Mus musculus: one gene and its partners. The main gene of each other region encodes a partner of the protein of the gene in region 4 in a complex. Links are inferred from orthologs where the notes say so. Each region holds a gene or a part of one and is shown on either strand. Other genes may lie near its edges.

Region 1 (2,973 bases), on a different chromosome or scaffold from region 4:
TGTGGTGCTATAGCAATTTTTTTAATGTATCTCAGAGTCACAAGTCTGCTAATGTCAAGTAAGGTCAGCCAGCAGCAGGACCAGCCATGCATGGTGGCTTCACCCACTGGACACCCCCACTTGGGGGACGCTGCTGGTTCTTTCCCCATGGTGCAGTGTCCCCCAAGTTAGAGCTGGCAGTCAGAGACAGCTTTCTCCACATTCCTCTAGAACAGTTTCAGGTCAAGGTGGATTGCTTTATAGAGATTTTTGAAATAGTAACTTTTGAGCAAGTCCATGCATACAGCAGAACATGCCCAGTCTTGGTAAGCCCTCACAAAGAAACCCTGGTCGTTCACATATCGAGTCAGTGCAGTGCTAAAGGCATAGGACGAGGACACCTTGCAAAATCTGTAGTGAAGTCATATGCTGTCTTACTGTGAGGACATTTAAAAGGAAGCGTGACTCGGCGCTCCTTTCCAGTGTCCATGCAGTTCTGATAATGTGACATTTGAGAAAGCTGTCCAGTTAGGAGCGCTCCCTGTTGAGAACGAAGTCAGAACTTCCAGAACACACAGCATTTGGAGCATAATAATCATTTAGTTCGTTGGCCCCATGAGCCTCTTCTTTCCTCCGCCCTTTAGTTGATTGTGCTTTTCTAAAATGTCATAAAGGGAATGGAAAGTTACTCAGTAACAGCTCTTTTCCATCCTTGATCTTATCACCTAGCTCAGGAGCAGGGCCTGGCTAATGAGTAATGACGGCGCGCATGCACACTTGACTGTCTGTGCTAGACCGTGGCTGAGGGGATACAGAAAGCTGAGGGCTTTCTAACTCTCACTTGCTTCTGCCCGACACCCCATAATCATTGGGGGTTTGTGAGCTTATAGGATTCTTAGGTGAAGCCGACTCAGGTTGTGTTCCACGGTTCCCAGAGATGACTCTGTGATGCTTTGCTTTTAGTGATTTATAAAGCAGTTTAGAATGTGCATTAGAAATGTGTCCTTCTATCCAGGCATGGCAGCACACACCAGAAATCCCAGTTCTCAGGAAGTAGAGGCAAAGATTGCAGTTCAAAACCAGCCTGGACTATATAGTGACTGCCAAGCCAAGCCTGCCTGAGCTCATGAGATCTGCCTCAACAACAACAATAACAACAAATCGGAGCGGGGTGTGTGAGGGAGAGTGTAAGAGTAGGGGAAACTGAGAGGGAGAGAGCTAGGAGAGAGTGAGAGGAGGGAGTGTGTGAGGGAAGAGGAGGAGGAGGACGCTGTTCCTGAATGACCAGGTGTTCTCCTCTTTATGGATCCAGAGCAGAGGCGACTGATGGTCGCGTACAACAGTGCTAATGCATGCACCTAGCTTGTTGGTTTACTGTGGCCAGTATAAAGCAGCATTCTTACCTGCTTCTTTCCCCCCACACCATCTGTTTCTGCTCTGCACTTTACCACCAGATCCGTGATGAGTGGGGCAATCAGATCTGGATCTGTCCAGGGTGCAACAAGCCTGATGACGGGAGCCCGATGATTGGCTGTGACGACTGTGACGATTGGTACCACTGGTGAGTGCCCCCACCCCCGAGTGTCAGACAGCAACGCAGGTCGAGCTGGAGCAGGTGTCCTCCCCAGCTAGCATCTTAGACGGACTCAGCTCCTCTCTTGACGACAGTCTAATGGAGCCTGCAGAGTAAAGTGACTGAAGAGTTAGCTGTGCTGTTGTTCCAGAGCCTGGCCCGTGGATGCTCGGCTTCAGATATATATCCTCTCTTATAAAAATACGTAAGGGTGTAGGGTCCCCCTCCTCCCTGTCACTGGCATTGGGAGGGAGAGCTACAACACGTGTCTGTGTGGGCTTGAGAAGAGACTCAGACAGCAGGTTTGCTTCTGAAGCTTGCAAAGATGCTCAGCCAAAATGTGTTCAGCTGCGTTTCATTCCTAAGCTGCCTCTTTGGATCTGATGTGTGCTGTCTACGATAGACCCGAGCCGGGTGAGCTGGGCTGCTGCTAACTTCAGCACTCTAATGCTGAGAATCACAAGTTTGAGACCAGCCTTGGCTACATAGTGAGTTTGAGGTCAACCTGGGCTATCTTAGACTCTTTCCCACCCTCAGCCTCTACTCCCAAATTAAAACGTAAAAGCAAAGCCATTTGCATTATACTATTCCTGATGGAAAGTACAAATAATCTATATGATCTCGCGATACAGAAGGCATTATATAATATAGCCTAAATAACCAACATTAGTGCAAAGAACCTTTGGGTGAATTTTTGGTACATACATCATTTTTTGTGCTTATTTCTATTGTGGGAGTGGAGCATGCTGTATTGGTTTGCACATCATTTTAGCCCATGCATGTGAAGGTCAGAGAACCACTGAAAGGAGCCAGTTCTCCACTTCTAAGCCCATCATGTGGCTCAGAAGACTATGTTGTCAGGCATCGTGGCCAGTGTCTTTATCTGTTGAGCCGTATCACCATGTCTTAAAAAAATCATTTTAAAGCATCAAACAAAGAAGGGATTGGTTTAACTCAGTTGGTAGAGTGGTTCCTTAGCGTGCAGGAGGAGCCTTAGGGTCCATCCCCACAGCTGCAGAAGCTGACTGCGAGGGTTCACACATCCCAGCTCAGGAGGTAGAGGCAGGAAGACCAGGAGGTCACGGTCAGCCTTGACTGTACCAGGAAGAAATGACCCCTTTGAAAACATGGCACAAGAGCTGAAGAACACTGCCTGCTCCTCCCGAGCAGGGAAGTCCCGCACCCCAGGGGAGTTCACAATGGGCTGCAGCTCCATTGACAGGAGTCAGACATGCTCTTCTGTTCTCAGGCAGCACCAGGTACACAAAATGATGCGCAGGCAAAATAACACAGAACACACATAACAAAACAAAAACTTTAAACTTACTTTTTTTAGGAAGCATACAGCTTGCAGACCCTGCCTCAGAAAAAGAAAATTATAAACATAAGAAACTTACTGGACTGGAGAGATTGCTCAGAGG
Region 2 (3,694 bases), about 32 Mb from region 4:
TCTCTCAGTTTCTTACTGAATTGCTGGACTTGACCTCATACTAACGTGGGCAATCTGTCTAATCCTCTGGCTCCTTGTCCTCTAGCTCGTTCTGTCTTCACCTGTGTCTAGCTTGTTCTCTGTATAACTGTCCCACGAAAACGACCTCCCTTCCTCTTTCTCTGCACTACCCCTGAAGTAGCTTCCCTTTCCTCTCTCTCCTCATGAGGGTTGGGCAGATCCTATTTTGTCAAACCTTTCTCTGATTCATCACTTTGTCTGCCACTCAATTAGAACATGGGTGCTTCCTTCTACAAACTAACTTTATCTTCATTGTTTGGGATTAAAGGTGTGTGCTAGGGCTAAGCCACACCACAACTAGAAACAGGTTTTTCTAGTAAACACCACAATCTCAAGGTTCACAGTATGAACAAATATCCTGCAACAGAATCTGTGCTGCTGTGTGTGAATGCACACAAGTGCCTGTTTGAGCCCTGCCTTTGGTCACTTGGGCATATAAATAAATAAATAAGTGTATATATATATATATATATATATATATATATATATATATATGTACATACACACACACATACACACACACACACACATATATATATATATATATATATATATATATATATATATATATAGCATAACTGGTGGCCCACCTGGTAATCTTATTTTGAACTTTGGAGAAACTCTGGCCTTTGATCCTTGTAGACATCTCAGAAATCGGGAGAAGTGCTAAGTCATACTGTGAGCACACAGCCAGGACCCAGCCCACACTGTCGGACATCGTGGTCACATTGGTTGAAATGGGTAAGTGTATCTCCGTTGTAGGATCACCAGAGAACGGGGAAGCCTGGGGGGGTTTCCATGTCTGCTGAGTCTTAATTCCATCCTATTTCCCCTGATCTGCTTTTAGTTAGAAAGGTATGAGGAAGGAGTCCTTGGACCCTGTCTCAGAGACCTCCCAAGTCCCTGTGGGAGTTCTCTTGAGAGGCAGAAGAGTGGCTAAGCTGGGATTTAAGTCCCCATTCCACACTGATAGCTCCCCTTTCCTGTTCAGTATCACGCCAGGATCAGAACATGGCAATGACTAGTTTTCTTGTCCCTAGGCTTCAATGTTGACACTCTACCTGCCTATGCAAAACGGTCTCAGAGGATGGTCATCACTGCACGTAAGTGGCTTTGAACTCTGATACTTAGTACGTACTCAGTGATTGTAGTGTGCCTTGGAGGGAGGAGAGGGCAGGCACCAGAGAGGCAGCTGTTTTCCTGCTGTGGGCTCCCTCCCTCCCAGTCCTTGGAGTGGTGAGCTGCTCACAGACTGGCTGTGTCCATGCAGTGGGATTAAACTGTGAAGGTCAGTCTCCAGGCAGCTGCACCATGTCTGAGCTGCTGCTGTTACATTTTAGCCCCGAAGAGCAAATGACCATACAAAAAACTGTGACAGTTCTTGCTTCTCTAGATGAGGGTTTGCAAGGGCTGGGGTCTGTGGACAAAGTGTGCTTGCTTTTGTTAGTAACAGTTTCTTGGCATACAGCTTATTTACTCACCGTATGTGATTGCTTTCACGTGGCAAAGGCAGAGGTTTTCGGTTTGCTTAATCTGAACTGTTGCTATTTCGTGGATGCGCCTGTAATCCTAGTACTTGTGAGGAGGTGGGGGTGCTCTAGAATTCTAGTGTACTGTAGATAGGGAGGGCTACGCTAGCCTGAGCTACACAGGTGGACTTGGGCTCAAAAAAGAAGCAAACAAAAATCTAAAATACTTATCATGTATCCTTTTATATAAAAAGATTTATTTAGTCTGCTTTAGATAAAAGTGGGTCCCTGCCGGGCGTGGTAGTGCACGCCTTTAATCCCAGCACTTGGGAGGCAGAAGCAGGCGAATTTCTGAGTTTGAGGCCAGCCTGGTCTACAGAGTGAGTTCCAGGACAGCCAGGACTACAGAGAAACCCTGTCTCAAAAAAAAAAAACAAAAAAAAGGGGCTGGTGAGATGGCTCAGTGGGTAAAAGCACCCGACTGCTCTTCCGAAGGTCAGGAGTTCAAATCCCAGCAACCACATGGTGGCTCTCACAGCCATCCGTAACGAGATCTGACTCCCTCTTCTGGAGTGTCTGAGGACAGCTACAGTGTACTTACATATAATAAATAAATAAATAAATCTTAAACCCCCCCCCCCCAAAAAAGTGGGTCCCTTATGCTAAGTAGGGAGTAACTGCTTTAGTGTTAGGACTTGAGGGGGAAACTTGTTTATGTTTGGTTTGGTACAGGTACAGGATTTCTTTCTGTAGCCTTCGCTGTCCTGGAACTCACTCTGTAGACCAGGCTGGCCTCGAACTGAGGGATCTGCTCGCCACTGTGTCCTGAGTGCTGGGGATAGAGGCGTGCAGCACAACCTCCTGGCTGTACTCGTATCTGTACGTGTGTGCATGCTCATGCCGCGGCATGTGGGTGGAGGTGAGGACAACGTTGAGGACAACGTTGTGGAGTTGCCTGTCTCCCTCCACCATGTGCCTCTTAGAGAGTGGCTTGGTGACAAGCCCGTTTCCCCACTGAGCCATCCCCACAGCCGCAGAGAGAAGCAGCTTGTCACAGATTGAAATATCAAGCAGGGTTGGAGACATTAACTAGTTGCGATCTGTTGCAGCTCCAGTGACCAATCAGCCAGTGACCCCCAAGGCCCTCACTGCAGGGCAGAACCGGCCCCACCCGCCACACATCCCCAGCCATTTTCCTGAGTTTCCGGATCCCCACACCTACATCAAAACTCCGGTGAGTTTGGGAGCTGCCCAGGGCCTGTGCGTGTGTGAAACATGACTGATGGAGGTTGCAGGGGAGAGTAACCTTCAGCTCCCTGAGGACTTTCCTACGGGGATGCCATCTTGATATGCAATTACCCCTTTCATCATAGCCCTTGGAAGGCTGAGGCTGAAGAGTTGCTGTGCATTTGAGGCCAGCCTGAAGTACAGAGTGAGATGTTGTCTCACAAAGAGAGACAGAAGGGGAGGAAGCACAGAGTAAAGCAACCTGGCCAGGAAGAGTTAGGGTTTATTTGAGAGGTTTTATGTGTGTGAGGGTTTCATCTGTGTGTGTGTCGTTGGATCACCTAGAATTGGATGTGGGTGCTGGGAATTGAGCCCAGGTCCTCTGAAAGAATGGCCAGTGCCATTTTAAAGTTATTTATTTTATGTTGGTGAGTACACTGTAGCTTCTTTTTTTTTTTTTTTTTAAGATTTGTTTTTTAAAGATTTATTTATTTATTTATTTATTATATGTAATTATATGTCCTCAGACACTCCAGAAGAGGGAGTCAGATCTCCTTACGGATGGTTGTGAGCCACTATGTGGTTGCTGGGATTTGAACTCAGGACCTTCAGAAGATCAGCTGGGGCTCTTACACACTGAGCCATCTCACCAGCCCAAAAGATTTATTTATTACATTATTTATTATATATTATTTATTTATTATTATTATATGCAAGTACACTGTAGCTGTCTTCAGACACACCAGAAGAGGGTGTCAGATCTCATTACGAATGGTTGTGAGCCACCATGTTGTTGCTGAGATTTGAACTCAGGACCTTTGGAAGAGCAGTCAGTGCTCTTACCTGCTGAGCCATCTCCCCAGCCCCCCACTGTAGCTTCTTTACACAACAGGAAAGGGCATCGTATCCCATTACAGATGGTTGTGAGCCACCATGTG
Region 3 (4,313 bases), about 12 Mb from region 4:
ATGTTTGGGCTTTATACTACATTTGGTCATTGTTTTTCCTTTTCAGTAAATATAGGCTCATTGCAAATAACTCAGAATACAAACAAAACAAAACAAACCTCAAAATCCAGCTAGTAGCGCTTATCCCAAGAGTGTCTATCTGGGAATATTTGTGCAATGTCCTCATGGACATCAGTGTCTCCCGCTGCACTGATCTCACCTATGTGTGAGTCACACCATCAGTCCCTGCACTTACTCTGGCTAGGATTTTTTTTTTTTTTTTTTTTTTTTTATTTTTTTTGGTTTTTCAAGACAGGGTTTCTCTGTATAGCCCTGGCTCTTCTGGAACTCACTTTGTAGACCAAGCTGGCCTCGAACTCAGAAATCCGCCTGCCTCTGCCTCCCAAGTGCTGGGATTAAAGGCGTGCGCCACCACGCCCGGCTTGGCTAGGATTTTTTAAATTTTGTTTCTTTTAACAACATCGTGTTCCATCTCTGGGAACATCTCTACATCTTACCCATTTCTTTCTATGATAAAATACCTGTATAAACACACTGGTATAAATGTTTTCAAAGATGTCTCAACATATTTCTAGACTTAGAAAACTGTGATTTTGTTTAATTGATCATTTCAAGTTCATTGGTAATAATTAAGGTTTTGAGTTGTTTTGTTTGTTTCGTTTGTTTTTTCTCCATCTTGATTAGCCATTGATATTTTTGTGAATTTCCTATTAAGTGATGGTTCATCTTCTAAAACTGGCTCAGCCATCTTTTTATTTATTTAAAAGAGTTAACTATAAAGAATAAAGGGGGTTAGAGAAACTGCTCTGAGGCTAAGAGCTATCAGCGCTAACAGGACCAGTAAGACCCAGCACTCATGTCAAGCTGCTTACAAATGCCTATAACTCTAGGTCCAAGGGATCTGGCTCGGCCTCTGGTTTCCATGGACACCTGCACAAACATGCACAGACACAAACAGACAGACTTACATTGAGACGTTTGTTTGTTTGTTTAAAGAAACACAGGGCTAGTGATTGGCCCATGAGGTAAGGGCATGTGCCATCAAGCTTGACACCTGAGTTCAATCCCCAGGACCGCGTGATGGAGAGAGCTGGCTTCCTCAAGTAGTCTTTCACCACGGATGCCCCTACATGTACACCCAGCACACAAGCATAGTAAGCAGACTCAATAATTTAAAATGCAAGCATTAGGGCTGACGCTGGAGCTCAGTCTGTAGACTGCAAAGCATTCAGGAACCAGATGTGCTGGCACATCTGGGGTCCCACACTCTGGAAGGTAGAGCCAGGAAAATCAGAAGTATAAGGTTATCCTTGATTTCCCTGTAAACTTAATGCTGAAGAACCCTGATTTGAACATAAATTTCTCTAGTAGATGTTTACTGTCAGTGTGAAATCCAGCCGACATAGAGTCGGATGTTATCTCCTCACATTGCTGTCTCTTAGAACAAGCAAAGGGCATACACCACCATAGCCAGCTGCTTCTGTCTAATGAAATTATGTTTCCTTTTTCTCTTTCCAAAGTTCCTTAGGGGTGGGAACCTTGCCCTTCCTCAAGAGCACAAAGCCTTAAGCTAGAGACCCTTTGAAACAGTGTTTGTCTGCCGCTTGTGTTTGTTGACTTAATGAAGTAGTCATCCTCATTAACCATCTTAATTACTCAAATTTTTTTGTCTAGAATCCTGGTCTCTTCTTTTTCTGAGGAGCAGCTGAACCGTTATGAAATGTATCGCAGGTCAGCTTTCCCCAAGGCGGCCATTAAAAGGGTAAGATTGTGCGTGCGTGCGTGCGTGCGTGTGTGTGTGTGTGTGTGTGTGTCAGTCACTACAGTGCAACAGCTGTGTCCATCAGCTCTGAAGTGAGGCGTGTGTGAGATTGCTTAGGAGGGAGAAAGAACCACCTCTCACCATCTGGCCAACTCCAGCAAGTCAGTGCCTATGAACCTTTGGCGGGTTTGGAATTGTTTTGCTGTTTTTTATTGCTGTGTCTGCGAGTAAATGAATACATGTATGTGTGTGCCCGTGAGAGTCAGAAGAGGGCATCAGATCCCCAACCAGATTAGAGGTCGTTGTGAGCTACCCACTGTAGGTGCTGGGAACTGAACTCTAGGCCTCTCGAAGGGCACTCTTAACACTGCGACATCACTGTAGCCCAGGTCATTTGGCTCTTGGCCGTCATTTACTGCCACTGCATTCCAGGCCAGCCCTGACCATACTAACACCAGCTTCTTCTTTTTTCCAAGCTGATCCAGTCCATCACTGGCACCTCTGTGTCTCAGAATGTTGTGATTGCCATGTCTGGCATTTCTAAGGTTTTTGTCGGGGAGGTGGTAGAAGAAGGTGAGTAGTGTCGGTCACAGCCTGTACTGCTCTCACAGGGATCGCATTCCCAAGAGTACCTCCACCGAGGCATGTAAGGGATGTGGGAGTTTCCAGCTGCTCGCTTTTCAGGTGGAGCCTATAGGGAGCCTCATCTTAAGGAGAGCATGGCTGTTTTTATTACTGGGTGCGTGGAGCTGGGGGGAGGGGATGAGGCCATCTAGGAAATCCCTCTCCATAGCCCAGGGCGAAGAAGACAGCTCGGTACTTTTCATCAGCAGACCTCACTTCAAAAGCAATGCCTTGATAGCAGCGCCCTGCTGAGAGCTCTCCCTGTCAGGGAGAAAGCTTGCTGCTTCTCATGGCTAATTTCTAGCTTGTGGTATAGTACAGTCCCTGTGGGATAAAGCCAAAGCCAGTTAGAAATACTTTATAACTTCCTTTTTTATGTCTTTCTGTATTGGTGAGGTAGGGAGAGGGTTGGTGCTTTTTGGGACAGGATTTCTCTGTGTAGCCCTGGCTGGCAGTTTTAGAACTTGTACTGTATACAGGCTGTTCTCAAACTCACAAGAGATCCACCTCTCTCTCCTCCCAAGTGCTAGGATTAAAGGCGTGCACCACCACACCCGGCTTATAGTGTTCTCTTAAGGAAAAACACTTGGCTTGTTTCTTTAGCAAATCTCACAAAAGACAGAATTACATCCTGAGTCGTGACTAGTGAATCTCATGTGATGATACTGTTTCCTTTCCCCACCCCAGCCCTGGACGTGTGTGAGAAATGGGGAGAAACGCCACCCCTGCAGCCCAAGCACATGAGGGAGGCCGTCCGGAGGTTGAAGTCCAAGGGGCAAATCCCCAACTCAAAGCACAAGAAGATCACCTTCTTCTAAATCTAAGGGAGACTGTTCCAGACTTCTCAGAGTCGGGCTTCTGTCCTGGGGCTTTGGTGGTGGTGAGCTCGGGACGCAGGATGCCGATTTTAATGTTTCGGTCACACCTACAAGGCATGCAGTGTGACTCAGACTTGCCTTCACTCAGTCATGGACTGTCCTCAGGCATGTTGAAGACTTTTACTGACTCTTGGCTAGTTTGAAGAAAAAATATACAGGGGCCTTTAGTATCTTCTGGAGAAGGAGATGGTTTCAGAGAAAAACAGAACAACTCTAGTGGCTTCATATTGAAACCTAAAGTTGCTAAGATTCAGGTTGTTTCTTGCTCTGGTTTTCAAAACATAAACTTGCGATTATCTGCGGTGAAGTCACCGTGACACGCTTCTCACCATTAACATTTCAGGTTCTCCTATGGATTTTGTGAGGGATCATTAAACTTTTCCAACCTGTGTGGGAAAGTTTATTTTATTTTGTTGCAGACAAAACTCATTGTTCTTCCTATGTTGAAATAAAACTTGGCTTTTGTTTTTCAAGACAGGGTTTCTCTGTGTTGCCCTGGCTGTCCTGGGACTCCTTCTATAGACCAGACTGGACTCGAACTCATAGATCTGCCTGCCTTTACCTTCCCAAGTGCTGGGATGAAAGGCATGTGCCACTACCACCCACCTTGGTATTTGGTTTGGGGACGTCTTTTTCCTTTCTTTAACTCAGGGGTCTCACTATGTAGCCCTGGCTGTGATGGAACTGATTGTGTAGACCAGGCAGGCCTCAACCTCACAGCACCACTATGCCTGGTGCTTTACATGTAGAAAAAAAATCTGTTTTTGAGACCGTCTCATTATATAGCCTTGGCTGGTCTAGTACTCACAATGTTAACTAGGCTGGCCTTGAACTTGGGAGCCTGCCTGGGGCTCTCAAGCTGCTCGGTGACCATCACACCTGGCCCCTTTCCCAGCAGCCACAAGAACCTTGAGCTTGGACCTGGAGAGAATGCTCAGCAGTTTAAGAGTAGAGGATTCAGCCGGGCGTGGTGGCGCATGCCTTTAATCCCAGCACTCGGGAGGCAGAGGCAGGCGAATTTCTGAGTTCGAGGCCAGCCTGGTCTACAG
Region 4 (3,694 bases):
GAAGAAAGGAGGAAAAGGTTAGAAAATGGTAGAAAAAAGATCAAGTCTTCTAAAAATAAATTTTAGAAATTTATAAAGAAATGCAAAAAAGTAGATAAATGTAAGAAAAAGAATTTTTAAAAAACCACTTTAAGTGATACTTTTTAAGTTCATTGGTAAGAATATCTGATGTAGCAAAGATAGTCTGACCTGGGACCTACAGCACCACAGCTCTGTTTCCTCAGTCATCATGAAGACAGCTTTTCTTTTTACCCTTTCGTTCACACCTTTTTAATGCCTCTTTCTGACCATTTTAGCGATTTGCTGCAGTCATCATGAGAATAAGAGAGCCACGGACAACTGCGTTGATTTTCAGTTCTGGAAAAATGGTGTGCACAGGAGCCAAGAGGTATCCTTAAGGAATGCTTTGTTTCTAGTGGGTGTATTATGAAAGAAAAAAGGCTCTAGCGTCCTTCTGTTATCAGGCTAGCACTTTTCATGTTATTTTTGAATGGTTTGCTCTGATTACTCTGCATAGCTTTGGTGCCCCACACTGTTACTCCTGATCTCCTGGGCTCTGGTTGTAGCACTGCCATTCGCATTCTGATATTCAAATGAAAACTCTTGAGTTGGAAAATCATAGCTTTATCCAATAGTGGTGTCCTAAAAATGGATAGAGATTTGATGTAAAGGAAGATAGAATTTGTATTTCCCAATAATACATTTTACTAATTTTTTTTATAAAGATGAAGTTTTCATTTCAGTAGAGATTTATAGGTCATAATGAGGTGATGACGGTGGCCATGCTAATTGAACCACACACTACATCGAGTCCTTTAAATCTGAGGGCTTGACAGTAATGTGCCACATAGAAGGCTTATGTTTTGGTAGGTTTATGGTTTCTGTTGAGGACACGGAGATAGTTTAATTACTTTCCTAATTTAGACTCTGTTTGTTATTCATCTAAATTACTCTATTAGGCTTCCATATATAACTCACTGATTTTCCTTTCTGTAGTGAAGAACAATCCAGACTAGCAGCAAGAAAATATGCTAGAGTTGTGCAGAAGTTGGGCTTCCCAGCTAAGTTCTTAGACTTCAAGATCCAGAACATGGTGGGGAGCTGTGATGTGAAGTTCCCTATAAGGCTGGAAGGCCTTGTGCTGACCCACCAGCAGTTCAGTAGGTAGGTCTAAGTAGTATGGGGAGTAGTTTTCCAACAGTCCATTTATAACCCACTCAGGCATCATTTCAGATGACGTACATATAAGATGTGCAGTTTCTAAGCATGTATGACATAACTGCAAGTTAAGTTAAGGTATTGCTACATTTGAGCTACTGCACTCTCCACTGTCTTTACAATCCCTATTTCCTTAGTCACATGACACCCAGACTCTCTCACTGGAATGATTTAGCTCACCTCTGTATGTATGCCTCACCATTTTGTTAGTCAGTAAGTAGATGTAAATACATGAATTTGTAGTTTCTTCTATCACTTTTCTCCTAGTTTGAATCTTTTTTTGTCAGCATACCAACACAGTGTAAAGATGAGCAGCAGAGGTAGACTGCCCAGTATTATTTCTTGCCTTTCTCTGCCTGAATATTGGTGGAGCATCCCTACTCACATCCTTATAACATCTGTTTTCTCTTTGCAGCCACACCACTGAGCTTACCAGTTCTCTCGTACTCACCAGGTTCCTCTTGCTCCATGGCCTCTGCACATGTCACTTTTAACCCTGACATATTGGGTACAATTTTCATCATAGAAACTCCTGTTTGAGTTTCAGGAATTCACTCATGTTGTCTTCCTCATATAGACCTGTCCTGAGTTTATCTCTGGATCACTCACAAGAAAGGCAGATCCTTTTGTAGACTGAACTAAGAAACCTGAAATCGCTGTGTTAGAGTATGTTAACTAATGTCCGTTCGAATAGATGGTATGACCAGGGAGTCGGTTCATGGCCAAGCTCATGTCTGGTTTCTCACTCTAGTTAAGGCACCTGTTAGAAAAGCAGGCATCTCCAGGAGAGTTCTGTTCAGGAAGGTGAGATGATTACAGGGCTGACTGCCACTCTTAGCTTAGGAGTGAATGGTGAGATTTTGATAAGGTGCTATAACTAGACTAGCTTTAACTGCATCTAAATAAGGCTCAGACCGTGTGTATACAACTCTTGTTTTTATCACAGAACCTCTAGAGTCTGAAGATAGCATTAAGTGATAGGAGGACATGTAGCTAGTAGTTGGTGGCTATGTCCATGACTCATGGCTCCTGGCTGGTTTCTTCCTGTGTGTCCTACTTGTGACACCTGGATTCTTTACTCAGGACTTTCTGGCACAAAGCCTCTTGTATTCAGAAACACAAAGAACTGGTGATTTCTAAACTGTATTCCCATTTTCTTTCTAGCTATGAGCCAGAATTATTTCCTGGATTAATCTACAGAATGATCAAACCCAGAATTGTTCTCCTTATTTTTGTTTCTGGAAAAGTTGTATTAACAGGTAAGTTGAAAGGAAGTGGATGAAACTGCAAAGGATGTTGGGGTGGCATTTTCTGTGTTAGAACAGTTGTCTAGCCATGTGTAAGGATGCTTTTTAAGTTTTGCACACCATTCTAACCTTCTTGAGAAGGGTAGAAGAATGAGAAGAACTGCAGAGGCCTGCTGCTGATGTAGCCGTCAGCTAGATTAAGCTTGACTGTGGGAGCAGGCAGGGATGGGACACTGACTGTTTTCAGTTGGCCCTTGCACCTTGGGGGTTAGTAGAGTATGATTACAAGACTGAGAAGAGCTCAATTGAATACCAACAGTTGGGAGAATAAGATTTCAGTCCTCAGTGCTTGTCAGATACCATGTCACTCAGGTCCAAGTATGGGAAGGAACTAGAGTAGGAAGTAGATATTGTCTTGCTGACTTGTGGATCCTGATCTCAGACCAACTATATAGTGAGGAAATGATGGTCTAGGGTGTTTAAAAGTCGCTAAGTGTATCACTTTTTTTTTTTTTTAAAGATTTATTTATTTATTATATGTAAGTACACTGTAGCTGTCTTCAGACACTCCAGAAGAGGGCGTCAGATCTTGTTACAGATGGTTGTGAGCCACCATGTGGTTGCTGGGATTTGAACTCCGGACCTTCGGAAGAGCAGTCGGGTGCTCTTACCCACTGAGCCATCTCACCAGCCCGTGTATCACTTTTTAAAACACTTAGAAAATACTGTTCTAAAAACATAGCTGGAGAGCTAGCTGGGCATGGCCCTTAATCCTAGTAATTCATAGGCAGAGGCATGGTCTATGCAAGTTCCAGGAGAGCCAGAGCTACATAGAGAAACCCTGTCTCAAAAAAAGGGGGTAGAATAGTGGGTACAGCTAGGATGGTGATAAGGGGATTCCACCATTTGTTTGTCTTAACTAGGTATAGAGAGAACTGTATTTATGTTTTAAGGTAATGATGCTACTTCTTAACCATCTCATTTCTGTTCCATGTGTCTTTGTAGGTGCTAAAGTTAGAGCAGAGATTTATGAAGCATTTGAAAACATCTACCCCATCTTAAAGGGATTCAGGAAGACCACATAGTTGTCTGCCATGTTCTCCTGCCTTCCCTATCCACGTGTTTTTTAAAACCAGTCAGTTTTGGTACCACTGATGGTACAGTTGGTGAGGACACTCAGTTACAGGTGGCAGCATGAAGTGACACTGTGTGTCCTACTGCAGGATACT
Region 5 (4,438 bases), on a different chromosome or scaffold from region 4:
GTCCACAGAAGCAGGAAGAAGCCGCTGGAACACCACCATAAGTTCTTTGGTGCATTTTTCACTATGAAGTCACAACAAGCTAAGATCAGCGAATCAAGCAAGGCGAACCAATTGCAGGAGCACTGTCCGCCGTCTGTTGGGTTATACTTATGCTCTTTCCAAACATATGTCCCCTCAAGCATCCGCCGTAGCAAAACATCACACGCCCTTTCACTAGGCAGTTTTCAGAAAAACACCCTGCGCCTGTTCTCGGCAAAACACCGTTACATAAGACAGTTTCCAGAAAAACATCACATGATACAACTGAGTCCCTAACAAAACCAGAAATTCCCACTTCAACAAATGTCTGCTTAATGGCATTTGATTTCCATTAACAAATAAAATGCTTACTGAGTTTTCATCTCAGTGGAAGACACCCAACTTGCAGTTACCTTAATTCAGACTTTGTTGGGAATGGTTTATTTACAAGAAAGTAGCACTGTTGCCTTAAGGTAAGAGGACGGGAGCTGAGACAAGGTCTTGTTCTGCAGGTCAGGCTGGCTTGGGATTCATGACCTCCCACCTCTGCACCCTAACTTCTAGAATTACAAGGGTGACCCCCAAGACCTGCCTTGTGAGGCCCTTGTATAGACGTTAGCTGTTTTATTACATTTCCTATACTCGGTTTTCAGTCAAATATTCGATGATGATTGGGGAACAACAACAACATGGGTCATAGCAGGGCTGTCTCTTGCAATTCTAGAAGGGTTTGTGAGCCAGATACCCTCCATGCCTACACTGTTGAGATAAAGGACATGTAGGAACTTTGAATCATGTTGGCCAATGACAGAGCTTGAATTGATACCTACTCCTGAAGACAACAACTAATTTCTCTTTTTATTCCAAATTCTTTAGTCAGGGCAAATGAGACATTCAATCAGATAGGGAAAACTGACTTGAAAATAAAGGAAAGGAATTTGGTGCGAGCGCTTTGCCCCTTTCAACCAACCTGGTTTCCTTGTGTGTTGGTTATTTTGTGTGTTTGTTTATTTAAAGGTGTTTTTTGTTTGAGACGAGGTCTAACTCCAGATCCTCCTACCTTCTTGGTGCAGGAATACTTGAGAGTATCACCCGAGGAGGCAACTCCCATTTTAATTTCCTCTGTTTGAGAGCTAGCTCAGGCGCAGCACATTCTGAGTCTTCTTGGGTTGATTTTTTGTTTTGATTTGTTTGAGACTGTGTGTGTCTGTGTCTGTCTGTCTGTCTGTCTCTCTCTCTTTATCTCTCTCTCCCTCCTCCTGGCTGTTCTGGAGCACCCTGTGTGGATCAGGTTCCTCTAAACTCACAGAGATCCTCCAGCCTCTGCCTCCGGAGATCAAAGGGGTGTGCTATCCCGCCAGGCTTTGAAGATTTTGCCAATCAACCAGCAGCCGGGAGCCACGCAGCAGCAGCGGAGACAACCAGGAAGTACACAGCCCGCGTCGTCAAGGACCGAGCGCTTTTTAGCCCTCCTCCCGACCCGTAGCCGCGCGGAGTGCGCGCGAGCGACTCGCGCATAAAAGCCCGGCTCGGGGCGTCTAGGAGCCAGTGCTGCTTCCTGCTTCGGACGGAGCTGTTGGCGGAGCCGCGAAGATGGCGTCGACCAGCCGGTGAGTGCAACGGCCTCGGAGCGAGTGGAGCAGGGCATCGCGGGGCCCAGGTTCCTCCAGAAGGCCGCCGCGGGTGTCCCTTACCCACCTGAGTCATCGCCGCCCGGGTTTGACCCTGCGGATCCGCACGGCCCCGGCCTCCGTCTCCGGACCCTTCAACCGTCTTTGTGTCATGTTGATGTTTTCTGTGTATTTTCTCCCTTACGGCCCATCCAGCCGGAGGGGGCTGAAACCCCGTTTCCGAAGAGCTGGAAAAGCGACGTTCCAGGTCCCTATCGATCTGACAACCGCAAAGTTGAGAAACGTCAGCATTGGTTGTCTGGTGGCAAAGGGTCGCTAGCCCAATGGCCCCCCCAGAAGTGGAAACGAAAGCACATACGGAGACTTGATTCATTCTCCTAAAAGACCCCCTGTCCCCACCCCGAAAAGTATCATTGCGTACTCTGAAGGAGATGCTGTCTGCAGAAAATTAATTACATATGCTGGAAGTCATTTTAAATGTATTTTTAAAACGTAGTTTGCTTAATATCTACAGGAAATGCGTGTTGTGACCGCAGAGACAGCCTTTAATCTTGTGACCTCCAAAATGCTTTGCAGACCCTAATTATATCTCTTGTAACCACTATGAGGTAGATATTAGTATACTGGCATATGTGTAAACTGAGTCATGCCAGCGTGTTGACCTTTCGCGGGCCACTATACCTATTCTGATTATCCGTCCACTGGTCTCCAGTTAACACAGAATGTACAGAAAGTATCAAATTAAGTTCTGTTCTTTTGGCACTTTTTTTTTTTTTTCGGAGGTGGTTACTATGTGTGGAATTGGTAAACGTCACCGGGGGAAGCCATTATTTACAGAAACTTGGCCTTTCTGGGAACCTCCAAGTCTGCTGTTTATTATAAAAAGTGGGAGGTGGGCATAGGAAGCCTCGTGAACTTCTTGCGTGGAAGCAATGGGCAATCTTGTTTACTGATTTTATGATTTAATTAGATTAATTATGATTTAATCATTCCATCTGGGTGTGGTTTTGTCACGTAAGGCTTCCTTGTAGCGACATAGGAACCTTCAGCTTCCCCAAATACTATTGAAATTTCCCATGGGTGATGTGTTCATATGTAGGCACAGCTTACCATCTTAGGGAAAAGGAACTCCTGTATTCTTGAAACACAAGTTGTAGTGTTTAAATAGTACACATAGTAAAATCACTGGTTACAGTTTTTAAACTTTTCTTCACTTAAAAAAATCCCTTGAAATTAATTTCTTTTCTGGACAGCTAGTGTTTGATTTTGAGTTAGTGGTCTCGAATCTTCTGTCTCCACCTTGAAAACTGTGGGGTTGTAGATCTGCCCGGCCCTCATCCAGCTCTTAAGTCTGTGTCATTCCTGTTGCTATCAAGTTTTGCCAGCAGTGTGAATAGAGAGAAGTTGCCTGAGAGTTTGTCATACCTTGAGGGCGGCATGTAGGCACTAAGCATTGGCACTGGTTGGTGTTCTCGAAGAGAACATGTCCAGATTGATGCCCACTCTTTATTCCGACGTCAGTAAATAACTTTTTGGCTGCGATCTGTAAAATGAAGATTGTGCCTATCTTTTAGGATGTTGTGCACATTGAGCATTCAAAATGTTTATGGGCGGGGGAGGGGGCTCCATGGTTAGGAACACTGGGTGCTTTTCCAGCACCCACATGGCAACTCATGAACTCCTAACTCAATTCCAGGGCATCTCTTCTGTCTCTGTAGGCACTAAGACATACATGCAGACAAAATGTTCATATTTAAATAATTTGGATAAATAAATAAATAATGTTTAAGGCGGTATCATTTAAATACTCTGCAAAGTTTTTCATGTTTCCCTCTTTTAAATGTTAGGGATTGAAACCAGGACTTATATATACTAGGCACGCATCTTCCACTAAGCTCCATTCTCAGCCTCTTTACCTACTTTTGTCTTTGAGGCTGTAGTGTCAGCTGCCTTGGAACTCCTATGTACAGTTATCTGCTGACAGTGATTCCCAGCCCCTCGGCCTACTATTCCATCCATCCATCCATCCATCCATCCATCCATCCATCCATCTGTTGAGACAGCCTCACTCTAGTCGATGTATAGTTCCTAGGGTAGCTTTGACTAGGTAGCATGCCTAGCTATTTCTGCTTCCTGAATACTGACATGTCCCATCACAGCTGGCTTGATAGACTTGTTAGTAGTGCCAAACTATGTTAATCCTTAACATACTGTTAGGTTAATTTCCTGCTTTGTTTATTGAGAGCCACTCTTATTTTGCTAACATTTTACTTTATTTCTGCAGCTTTTTGATTTTTATGAAATACTTTATTTTTTTAAGATTTATTTTTTTCTAACAAGTTTGCAGAACAAGTATAAAGCAGTTCCTGTCCTCTCTCATTTTTCCAATTAGAAGACTCCAGGATATGTTTTAATGAAGTAAATAAATCTGTGATTATTTAGTGAATTTTTTAAAAATCAGTTTTCCATGTGACTTAGTTGTTGGTAGTTAGGGAGAGAGACCTGTGGTGAAGGGCACTTGTTGCTTCTGCAGAAGACCTGCACCCACATGGTAACTAGTTCCAAAGTATCCCTGGGAACTAACCATTCAGGCAGTACACCTGCACACGCGCAGGGAAAACACCTATAAGACAAAAATAAATATATCCTTAAAAATAAGTCAATAAAACACAATGTGGTTGTTAAAACATTTTGAATCGTACTAGCTAGCAGGAGAAACTTGATCCAAAACCACAGAAGCATAGTTAACTATAAGAACAGTTGATTTTGTGTTTTAGGTGTGTGCTTTC
Region 6 (4,432 bases), on a different chromosome or scaffold from region 4:
TAAAATCCACCCCCCATTTCCACCTGTCCCTTCCTGTCCCCTAACCAAACTTCAGCCTTACTGCTCATCTAGTCTTTTTTTTTGTTTGCTTGTTTTTTTGAGACAGGGTTTCTCTGTGTAGCCCTGGCTGTCCTGGAACTCACTCTGTAGACCAGGCTGGCCTCAAACTCAGAAATCTTGCCCATGCCTCCCAAGTGCTGGGATTAAAGGCATGAGCTAGCACTGCCTAGCGCCTGTAAACTCTTAAGGACAATGATGACTGACTTCCCCAACAGGATATACCCAGCACACAGCAAAAAACAAAAACAAAAACAAAAAAACAGTTTAGTACATCCAAGGATGCAAGCACAAAAACTGATTGGCCAAACTCTGAGAACCATGATAGAAAAATAAAGCTGGGGCTTGAGAGGTGGCTTTCTCTCGAACCTGGCAGTCTTGCAGAGGGCCTGGGTCAATGCCAGCAGTCACATGGTGGCTCACAACTATCTGTAACTTCAATTGCAAGGCTTCAGATACCCTCTTCTGACCTCTTTGTGCACCAGGAATGCACATGGTGTACATATATAAATGCAGACAAAACACTTTTCCGCATAAAATAAATCCAAAAAGAAAAATAAGGTTATAAACAGTTTGCCACTTAATGGTTAAGCCCTTGCATCCAGGATTTTGGACCAAGAGGGTGGATGAGCCTAATGGGATGAAGATACAAAGATAGAATGGATTCTTTATGGGCAGGAACCGTTGATAGCTCTGAGATGTCAGACTTCTATACACTCGTTTGCGAGATCTCTATTTTACTAAGAATCCTTGCCGGGGACTGAAACTGCCTGTTGCTTACATGCCTAGCAAAAAAAAAAAAAAAAAAAGTACTCAAATCTCAGGGCTTAGTGGTTTAACAGTTACTGTACCAGCCCGGGCTTTGGAGTAAGAATTTTCAATTCAAGTTGAGAACCTACATCCCTTAGGAATTTCACGTTTCTTCCACTATTACATGACATACTCCAAGTGAGGGACTGAACCAGTCCCTCACAGACAGCTCTCGTCCAAGTGTATGTTGACTACAGATTAACTAATAGGCACAATCAGCTTCTCTAGTCTCCAAGTTCTCGTGCTGGTTGAGAGTCCCATAGTTGGTATCTATGCAGAACTGCGGTCCCATCCTTATAGCACCACAAAGGCACCAACCAAAAATGGCGACTTGGAAGCTCTCCGAGGCCGTCGGTTACCGGTCACGCTCGTGAAAGAGATGAGTCGTAAAGAAACATCTAGGACAGGGATTCACGCCGTGGTAGGGGACGCAGAGTAGACCCACGCCACCAGCAAGCCACACAGAGCAGAAAGCCCGACCTGCCAAGCCAGGCGCTGGGCTCACAGTCCTACCACGTGTTGTAGTACCATCTGCGCCTGCGCTAGTGAGGCGCGCGCCCGGCGGCCGGAAGAGCCGCGCGTTTCCGGGTTGGAGGCGGGGAGCGGTGCCGGAAGTGCTTGGGGAGGGCCGCGCAGTCGGACCGGCTGCTGAGACGAAAGCTTCACTGGGGCAGTCTCCGCATATCATGGGGAGATAGACGCTGCTGCCTGTGAGTCTTGGGCCCTGGCAGTTGAGGACGAAGAGCGGGAGGAGGGTGTCAGGACCCAGACCCACAGCGGGTCAGTGCTGGAAGAACTAGGCTGTGGAAGAGACGGGGCTGAGGAGCCCAGGCTCTTGGGACGGGACTTGAGGGGTTCGGGCTCGCAGAAGCAGCGGCTGTTGGGGACTCGAGCTCTGAATGAGAGACTTAGGAAACGGGGACGGATGTGGATTCTGCAGCATCTGAGGGAAAGCCTTCTGAGAGGGACAGGATGGTGAGGATCCCGCACTTTATAGGAGGCGAGGGTAGGAACGAAACGGGGCGTGAAGACACAGGCTCCAGAGAGGTAAAAGTGGAGCCCGAGAGGACTCGGGCTCCTAAGAGACAGAAGCGGGACAGTAAAGTCCCAGCTCCTAAGGATTCAGAAACCGGGCAGCAAAGACTTGAGGACTGGAGCTAGAGAAGGAGGCAGAGAAGACTTGAATTTGAAAGGGAATCGAAGCGGGCAGTGAGGACTGGGTCTTCTTTGGGGACAAGATCCGGGCTTTCAGACTCAAGAGTTTCTGGAGGGACAGAGATGTAAGGACCCGAGCTCCTAAAAGTGAAGGAACTAGGGGGTCCTTAACGGCTGGGAGATCAGCCTTCAAGGGAGAAAAGTTGAAAAGGTTTAGCGATCTGTTCTCTGTACCCGGAGGATTAGGATATATATATTCGGGGGAAGACTTCTTGGCGCTGCCTATTTGGCTTTTGGCATTTAGGCTTTTTCTTGTGTCCGTTACTTAACCTAGAAAAGCCACATGAAACGTCTTCGTTTTTCTTCATTATTGTGAATCAGATGTGAAGCTGAAAGCAGTTTGAACTCAGTTATATACTTGATAAGTACCTTAAGCCCTGTTCCATTCAGCCCCCGTTGAGCACAGATCTCTATATCACTAGCAAACTGTCATAGATGGAAGGGCAGCAAAAGAACACTTTGAATTCTTTTACATTTAAGAAAAAGAGGATGCAAAGAGGGATTAGGATCACTGTGAGCCAGATTCTTAGGTTATACAGTACTCTACCATGTACATCGAAGAAGAGATGCTTGCTTGAAATTATTTGAATAAATGCTTTTAGAATCTCTACCCTCAAACTCAGAAGGGATTTTTTTCTAACGGATTTTAATATTTTAGTACCTATTATGTATGGCATTGGCATAAATGTTACAAGGGAGGAAACAAACTTTTAAGTGAAAAGTCTTTTATTTATTTTATTTATTTATAAATTTTATTTTTCAATAAGATGTTGAGAAATTCACAAGTAAATGTGGCCTAGAACATTTTCTAGGGATTGCTTTTAGAAGAGTGACTTGGACCCTGTCATTTCCCTTCATAAAGACCCAGGACTGAAACCTACTCAGATGAATCGTGCACAACTTAAGCACTTTGGGCTTTTTGTTCTGTTTTCTTTTGGTTTGTTTGTTTGTTTGTTTGTTTGTTTTCAAGACAGGGTTTTCTGTGTAGCCCTGGCTGTCCTGGAACTCACTGTGTAGACCAGGCTGGCTTCAAAGTCAAGTCCACCTGCCTCTGCCTCGGAGCGTTCGGTTTAAAGGTGTGCACCTCCACCATGAACAACTTAAACACTTTTAAGTATTCCACCCCTTCCTTATCACAGCCCCACAGTTAAGTATGGTTAGTCCTGTTGTCTGTCCAGAGAGGTTAAGGGGTTTGTCATAAAGTACTGAGTAGCTTATCTGCAAATGTGCCTCCAAAGCTTTCTTGAGCTTTTCTAAGTGGATTTCCTGCCATGTGTAGTATGCATGTGAATGAAATATAAGTAATATTTATAAATCCTTCCACTGAATGAAAGCACACCCCTCCTCCCCAAACTACTTAGCTCCCCCTAGCCTGGAAATTGCTGTGTAGACCAGGCTGGCCTCAAACTCAGAGATGCACCTGCCTCTGACTTCAGAGCGCTGGTGATTCAAGGCTACATCACCAAAACCAGCTTCTTAACTCCTTTTCAAGTCAAGGACTGTAACTTTTAAGATACTTCCATAGTATTTGACATCTGAATTCCTGTGTTTTCACAGAAGCATAAATATTCCAGGTAGAATCTTTCCCATAATAGAGTAGGTTATTTTTATTTATTTATTTTTTAATTAGGGCGACATCAGATTAACTTTGCAGTTAATTGCTAGCATATACTCGATGTTGTGAATGCTCGGGCTATAATTCCATTACATTGGAGGTGGAGGCTGGACGATCAGGAGTTCAATGTCAACATAAAACTTTATCTCAAGGAGAAACAGAAGAAGAGCAGATCAGGTGAGGTGGTTCTCCTGGTAAGGTGATTGCCACAAGGAGTGATGATTTGAGTTCAGTCCCTGAGTCCTGCATGGTGGAAGGAGAGAACCAACTCCCAAAATTATCCTCTGACCACATCAGCACAGACACACTGAATAAAGAAAAGGTTGTTTTTTTTTTTTTTTTTTAACATACTTGAAGCTATTATTTTCCCAGGAGCTTAGCTGCTCTATTATTTTTTTTAAGGTTTTACTAAAGGTGATGAGACCCGAACAGCCAGCACACAGAGAAAAACCATCCACAAAGCAAAGGGGGGATTTTTGAAGCCAAAGCCTCTGGTACCATTTTTAAAGATTTGTTTGTTTGTTTATTCATTTCTTATCGGGAAGGGGCATTGAGTCAGGGTCTCTCCGTGTAGTCCTGACTGCCTTGGAACTCTGCAGACCAATTCTGCTGGCCTCAAATTCACAGAGACCCTCCTGCCTCTGCCTCCTTATTTTTTATGTGTATGAATGTTTTGCCTCACTATGTGTCTGTGTACATCGGTGCTTGATTTAGAGTCCTGAAAAGGGCATTGAG
Region 7 (4,455 bases), on a different chromosome or scaffold from region 4:
TTTCCATCGATAGTCAGAGCTGCTCCAGCACAGCTTCCAGCCAGATGAAGGCAGATATTTACTTTCCTGATGTAAGTGGTGGGAGCCAATGGCTCAGACACAGGGTAGAGAAACGTGCAGGGGGAGAAACGACACGGAAAGCAACAGGCTAACGGTGACAATCATGCTGAGTGTCATGATTAAGGCCATCCTGTATTCAGAAATTGTCAGGCCCTTTAAAGTCCCTCAAAATTCTCAAATCCATGACAGACATATTGTACTTCTTACTGTACAGAAAAGGAAACAAAATTTATTCAAGATCATTCAGTTGTTACATGGCAGAAACAGGATTCAAAAGCAGGTTCAAGCCAGGCATGGTGGTGCACATGTTTAGCTCCAGCACTGGAGGCAGAGGGCTGTAAAGGCAAGAGGTTCTCTGTGAGGTTAAAGCCAGCCTGGTTTACAAATCAAGTTCCAGGATCGTCAGGGCTACATAAAGAGACATGTGTCAAACAACAGCAGCAACAACAACAAACTCAAAGGCAGGTCTGTAAATCCAGAATGCACCCCACCCTAAGCTGAATCAGCAGTGAAGAAATGGCCCCTTTGGCTGACACCAGGAAGACTTCAGAATAATCCTGCAGCACCAGGAGAAGTGCCCATCTTCCACCTAGAGGGGACTTCTCTCTTCCAAATATATTGCACACAATATATTGCTAATTATTAGGTACTTATGATATACCACACTTTTACGATATACTAGACTAGTAGGGTTCAAGCACAAGGCTGGCTTTACAGCTTTGCAAATAGTTCATTCAGTCACATAGGACCCTATATTCATACTGATCTAACCACACACACAGGTCTTTGTTTGCTTTTTTTGTTTTTATTTTTTTTTCTCCGTGGTGCCATGTACACTAGGCAAGCTCTCTATAATCCAGTTATATCTCTAGGCCAACAACTTTACATTTGAAATGTGTTTGTCTATGAGAACTCAAGGGATAGTAATATCTGCCCTCTCACCACAGATCTTGTCACGCACTCAATAAGGTGTTTGTAATGTTCCCTTACAACTTAGTCCTAGTGGACCTGCATGGGTGCAAAGCCAGAGTCAATGCTGCAGGATTCCACAGACTGTTGGACAGTGTGTGCAGGGGTCAAAAAGTAGAAGGTGCCGGGCGTGGTGGCGCACGCCTTTAATCCCAGCACTCGGGAGGCAGAGGCAGGTGGATTTCTGAGTTCGAGGCCAGCCGGGTCTACAAAGTGCCTTCCAGGACAGCCAGGGCTACACAGAGAAGCCCTGTCTCGAAAACCAAAAAAAAAAAAAAAAAAAAGTAGGAGGCAAGTGAGGACACAGGGACAGTACAGAAATCCATAACACATGCCACCCTTAGTCTGACAGAGAGCTTGGCACACTGCGGGCTCAGTCACCACAACAAATCGACGCTCACCTGGCCCGCAGTGTCCTCCCACTTGCAGGAAGGCCTTCTTTCCACTCAGGTTCGAACACAGGTTTAGTCTCCTGCCAGTCTTTTCTGATAGCTCTAGGCCAAGGGAGAGCCGGGGTACCGCCCCTCCCGGAGGCCCGCCCACCACACGCACAGCCACGCCCACCAACGTGTACTCACGCGAGATTTCGTCCTTGTCCTAGTCCGGCTGCTGGGCGCCGGGAGCGCTCTTTTCGACGCGGCGGAAGAGGTAAGCGGTTGTTCACTGTGGCCGCTCAGGTCTGCTGCGGGCGACGGGGCCGCAGGGCGGGGTTCTTTGGGCTGCGGTCCGCGCGGAAACGGCGCTCTTGTAGGGCCAGAGCAGCGGGCCGGAATCCCGCCATCCGCAGGCCGCACGAGGCTCCGGGTCGCTGTTGGGAGAGGCCGAGGTGTTCTGGGCCTGGAGGGCGTTTTTAGTGCCGTGTAAGGGGTCGCGTGCTGCCTGCGCACATCTCTTAGGTTACGTTCCGAAAGGGTCTTGCAGCGGGCCCACGGCGCATAGTCGACGCAGCTCACCACGTGGCCTCCAAAGCTTGTAGTCTCGGAACTGTAAAGTAGCGTACAGGTGGGAGTGATTCCTAGGAATTATCTTTGATTTACTCACAGGCATATCGTTGGGGCGACCGGGTCAACCTTAAATTTCAGTTTTGGTGGGTTAATTTAAAAAAGCAATTCATGTAGCGGGCATTTTGCAATCTAAGGTCGTAGTCACCCTGTTTTTCTTATCCTCGAAAGTTGTGATTATTTTTAGTTCTAGGATTTTGTGTAGCCTAGGAAAACTGTAGTCTTTTCTCCTTTAGTACATATGGCCGTTTTGCCTGCCTAATATTTCTACACCACGTGCACGCAGTGCTCACAGAGCCCAGAAGAGGACATCGAATCTCTTAGGACTGCTTACAGCTATTTTTAGGCTGGCATGTGAGTTCTGGGAGTCTCATCTTAGTCCATTGACAGTATTCTATTCATTTCTTTTTTGGGGGGGGAGGTTTCGAGACAGGGTTTCTCTTTATAGCCCTGGCTGTCCAGGAACTCACTTTTTAGACCAGGCTGGCCTCGAACTCAGAAATCCTGCCTCTGCCTCCCGAGTGCTGGGATTAAAGGCGTGCGCCACCACGCCCGGCCATTGACAGTATACTTAACTGCTAGGCTATCGTCTCAGCCATAATCTAAAGGTTCTTTTACACGTTGTTAGGATTACAGGCCTGTGACCATTTGATCAGTAGTGATTTTTGAGCCACTATCGCCATATCCCAACTACCCGAACTCTGTTTCAGTGTCGAGTTCGCAGCCCAGATTGGAATTAGAAATGCTACTGTGAGGCTAGGTGGTGGTTAAAGCCATGTCGGGTTTTGGGGGTAGATTTAGTGAGAAAACAAACTGCATTGGAATGTGGCTTCTTGTTTTCACTCACATATTTAAAGAAAACTATGCCATATGTGTGAGGGTACTCTGGAAGACAAAAGATCACTAACAGGGAGCTGGAGTTAACAGGAGATTGTGAGCAACCCGATGTGGATACTGGAAACAAGCCCACTCAGAGGCTTTAAAGTAGATATAAAATGTACTATCCATAGGGATTTTACAGAAATTCACACAGTGGGAAGGAGTATGCTGAACTTAGACTGCTGGTACATCATTGAAATCTGTGATTGCAGAAAATTGGGAAAGGCCGCGAAAAGTGATGGCTCAATCAGAAGTGAATTCTGTCTGTGTGGCATCGGATAGAGCTGGAGATACTGGAGACCAAAGGTAAGGTAGCTTTTGTGGGTAAACTAGAGATTCAGTCCAAATGTTCAATTTATTTTTGAGACATCTCAGTAGATAGAGCCATGGCTGCCCTCACCCAGGTAATCCTGCCCATCTACCTCTCAAGAGTTGGGATTAAAGGCATGTTACCACACCCTGCACTCCAGCAAGTTATTTGTAATGCTTGTACTTAAAATAGATAGAGAGAACCTCAATTAGCATTTATATTAGCTTGACAGTTTGATTAAAACTGTATAATTCTACCAACCTGAACATGTAGGAATGGAACATAGTTTATTTTTTCCAAGAAAACTACATTTGGGGGGCTAGTTCTGGTTTTATTGGCCCATTTTTGTTTAGTAGGTAGATAGTGGAAGCTTTAGTGATTAAGTGGTGCTTTTGAAAGTTAAAACTGAACATTTTAACCAACTGTCTTGTTTTAGATATAATAGTAAGTACTAGTGGTTAACTGGTACTGAATCTATTCTAAAATGCTGGGTATGATTTTAGGGGGTTGATCTTTGAAGAAATGCACTTTGAAATTTTAACATGGTTTTTAGGTTTGTCATGCTTTTGTCTGGTGTTCTAAGGGCAGTAAAGGCTGTTGGAGCTGTGAACTGAAGGAATGCATGATTGGGAGCATGGCCTTGAAACTCGGGGAGGATTATAGCTAATGATAACTGATGCAGTTTCATTTTTGTTTTAGTGATGACTCCTCTGATGGCAGCTTATTTAAAACTCAGTGTGCTCCTTCACCTATACAAAAGCAAAGACACCCTACTGTGAAACGTGTTACTTTACCTGCAAGTGTTGAAACAGATTCATCAAGTGACTCTTCTATAGAACCAAGGCCTCTGACTTTAAAGGCTATTTTTGAAAGATTTAAAAAAAAGAAACGGAAAAAGAGGAAAAAGAGAAAATATGAGCCAAAATTAAGACCAAGAGGAAGACCAAGAGGAAAACCATCGGGAACGAGGATCACTAGAAGGTCGCAAATAGATGCAAAACAAATTAAAGACAAAGGAGCTGTGTTTCCATTCTTAGAATCTGAGAGTGGAAGAAAACCTTTACCTTGGAAGAAAATTTTAACATATGAGGTGAGTTTTTTTTTTAAATGTAGGTGAATACATTAGGTAAGATTGAATGGTTTGTTGGCCATTCTTAATTGTTTGAGGGACACCTGAAACAGATTGTTACTTTTAACAATAGTGACATCCATATAAAGTGCTCCAATTTTCATCTC

Evidence for each region.
Region 1: Tbp (region 4) and Taf3 share a complex: the UniProt entries of both Homo sapiens proteins name them as parts of the TFIID basal transcription factor complex. The link is inferred for Mus musculus from reciprocal best matches to the Homo sapiens genes TBP and TAF3.
Region 2: Tbp (region 4) and Taf8 share a complex: the UniProt entries of both Homo sapiens proteins name them as parts of the TFIID basal transcription factor complex. The link is inferred for Mus musculus from reciprocal best matches to the Homo sapiens genes TBP and TAF8.
Region 3: Tbp (region 4) and Taf11 share a complex: the UniProt entries of both Homo sapiens proteins name them as parts of the TFIID basal transcription factor complex. The link is inferred for Mus musculus from reciprocal best matches to the Homo sapiens genes TBP and TAF11.
Region 5: Tbp (region 4) and Gtf2b share a complex: the UniProt entries of both Homo sapiens proteins name them as parts of the TFIID-containing RNA polymerase II pre-initiation complex. The link is inferred for Mus musculus from reciprocal best matches to the Homo sapiens genes TBP and GTF2B.
Region 6: Tbp (region 4) and Taf12 share a complex: the UniProt entries of both Homo sapiens proteins name them as parts of the TFIID basal transcription factor complex. The link is inferred for Mus musculus from reciprocal best matches to the Homo sapiens genes TBP and TAF12.
Region 7: Tbp (region 4) and Taf1d share a complex: the UniProt entries of both Homo sapiens proteins name them as parts of the transcription factor SL1/TIF-IB complex. The link is inferred for Mus musculus from reciprocal best matches to the Homo sapiens genes TBP and TAF1D.

The regions. Positions count from the first base shown.
Region 1 is NC_000068.7:9,916,670-9,919,642, reverse strand, and holds part of Taf3 (transcription initiation factor TFIID subunit 3), read left to right. Parts: exon of another isoform or gene 1-1,433; coding exon 1,434-1,540; exon of another isoform or gene 1,541-1,658; intron 1,659-2,949; exon of another isoform or gene 2,950-2,973. UniProt on the Homo sapiens protein: The TFIID basal transcription factor complex plays a major role in the initiation of RNA polymerase II (Pol II)-dependent transcription.
Region 2 is NC_000083.6:47,495,647-47,499,340, reverse strand, and holds part of Taf8 (transcription initiation factor TFIID subunit 8), read left to right. Parts: intron 1-702; coding exon 703-801; intron 802-1,100; coding exon 1,101-1,163; intron 1,164-2,638; coding exon 2,639-2,763; intron 2,764-3,694. UniProt on the Homo sapiens protein: The TFIID basal transcription factor complex plays a major role in the initiation of RNA polymerase II (Pol II)-dependent transcription.
Region 3 is NC_000083.6:27,900,550-27,904,862, reverse strand, and holds the end of Taf11 (transcription initiation factor TFIID subunit 11), read left to right. Parts: intron 1-1,674; coding exon 1,675-1,762; intron 1,763-2,238; coding exon 2,239-2,335; intron 2,336-3,073; coding exon 3,074-3,204; 3' UTR 3,205-3,737; downstream 3,738-4,313. UniProt on the Homo sapiens protein: The TFIID basal transcription factor complex plays a major role in the initiation of RNA polymerase II (Pol II)-dependent transcription.
Region 4 is NC_000083.6:15,513,234-15,516,927, forward strand, and holds part of Tbp (TATA-box-binding protein), read left to right. Parts: intron 1-296; coding exon 297-388; intron 389-996; coding exon 997-1,164; intron 1,165-2,382; coding exon 2,383-2,477; intron 2,478-3,470; coding exon 3,471-3,550; 3' UTR 3,551-3,694. UniProt on the Homo sapiens protein: The TFIID basal transcription factor complex plays a major role in the initiation of RNA polymerase II (Pol II)-dependent transcription.
Region 5 is NC_000069.6:142,763,661-142,768,098, forward strand, and holds the start of Gtf2b (transcription initiation factor IIB), read left to right. Parts: upstream 1-1,586; 5' UTR 1,587-1,611; coding exon 1,612-1,628; intron 1,629-4,438. UniProt on the Homo sapiens protein: General transcription factor that plays a role in transcription initiation by RNA polymerase II (Pol II). Involved in the pre-initiation complex (PIC) formation and Pol II recruitment at promoter DNA.
Region 6 is NC_000070.6:132,272,911-132,277,342, forward strand, and holds the start of Taf12 (transcription initiation factor TFIID subunit 12), read left to right. Parts: upstream 1-1,464; 5' UTR 1,465-1,577; exon of another isoform or gene 1,578-1,647; intron 1,648-3,712; exon of another isoform or gene 3,713-3,874; intron 3,875-4,432. UniProt on the Homo sapiens protein: The TFIID basal transcription factor complex plays a major role in the initiation of RNA polymerase II (Pol II)-dependent transcription.
Region 7 is NC_000075.6:15,304,607-15,309,061, forward strand, and holds the start of Taf1d (TATA box-binding protein-associated factor RNA polymerase I subunit D), read left to right. Parts: upstream 1-1,607; 5' UTR 1,608-1,677; exon of another isoform or gene 1,678-1,842; intron 1,843-2,263; exon of another isoform or gene 2,264-2,384; intron 2,385-3,121; 5' UTR 3,122-3,147; coding exon 3,148-3,215; intron 3,216-3,918; coding exon 3,919-4,309; intron 4,310-4,455. UniProt on the Homo sapiens protein: Component of the transcription factor SL1/TIF-IB complex, which is involved in the assembly of the PIC (preinitiation complex) during RNA polymerase I-dependent transcription.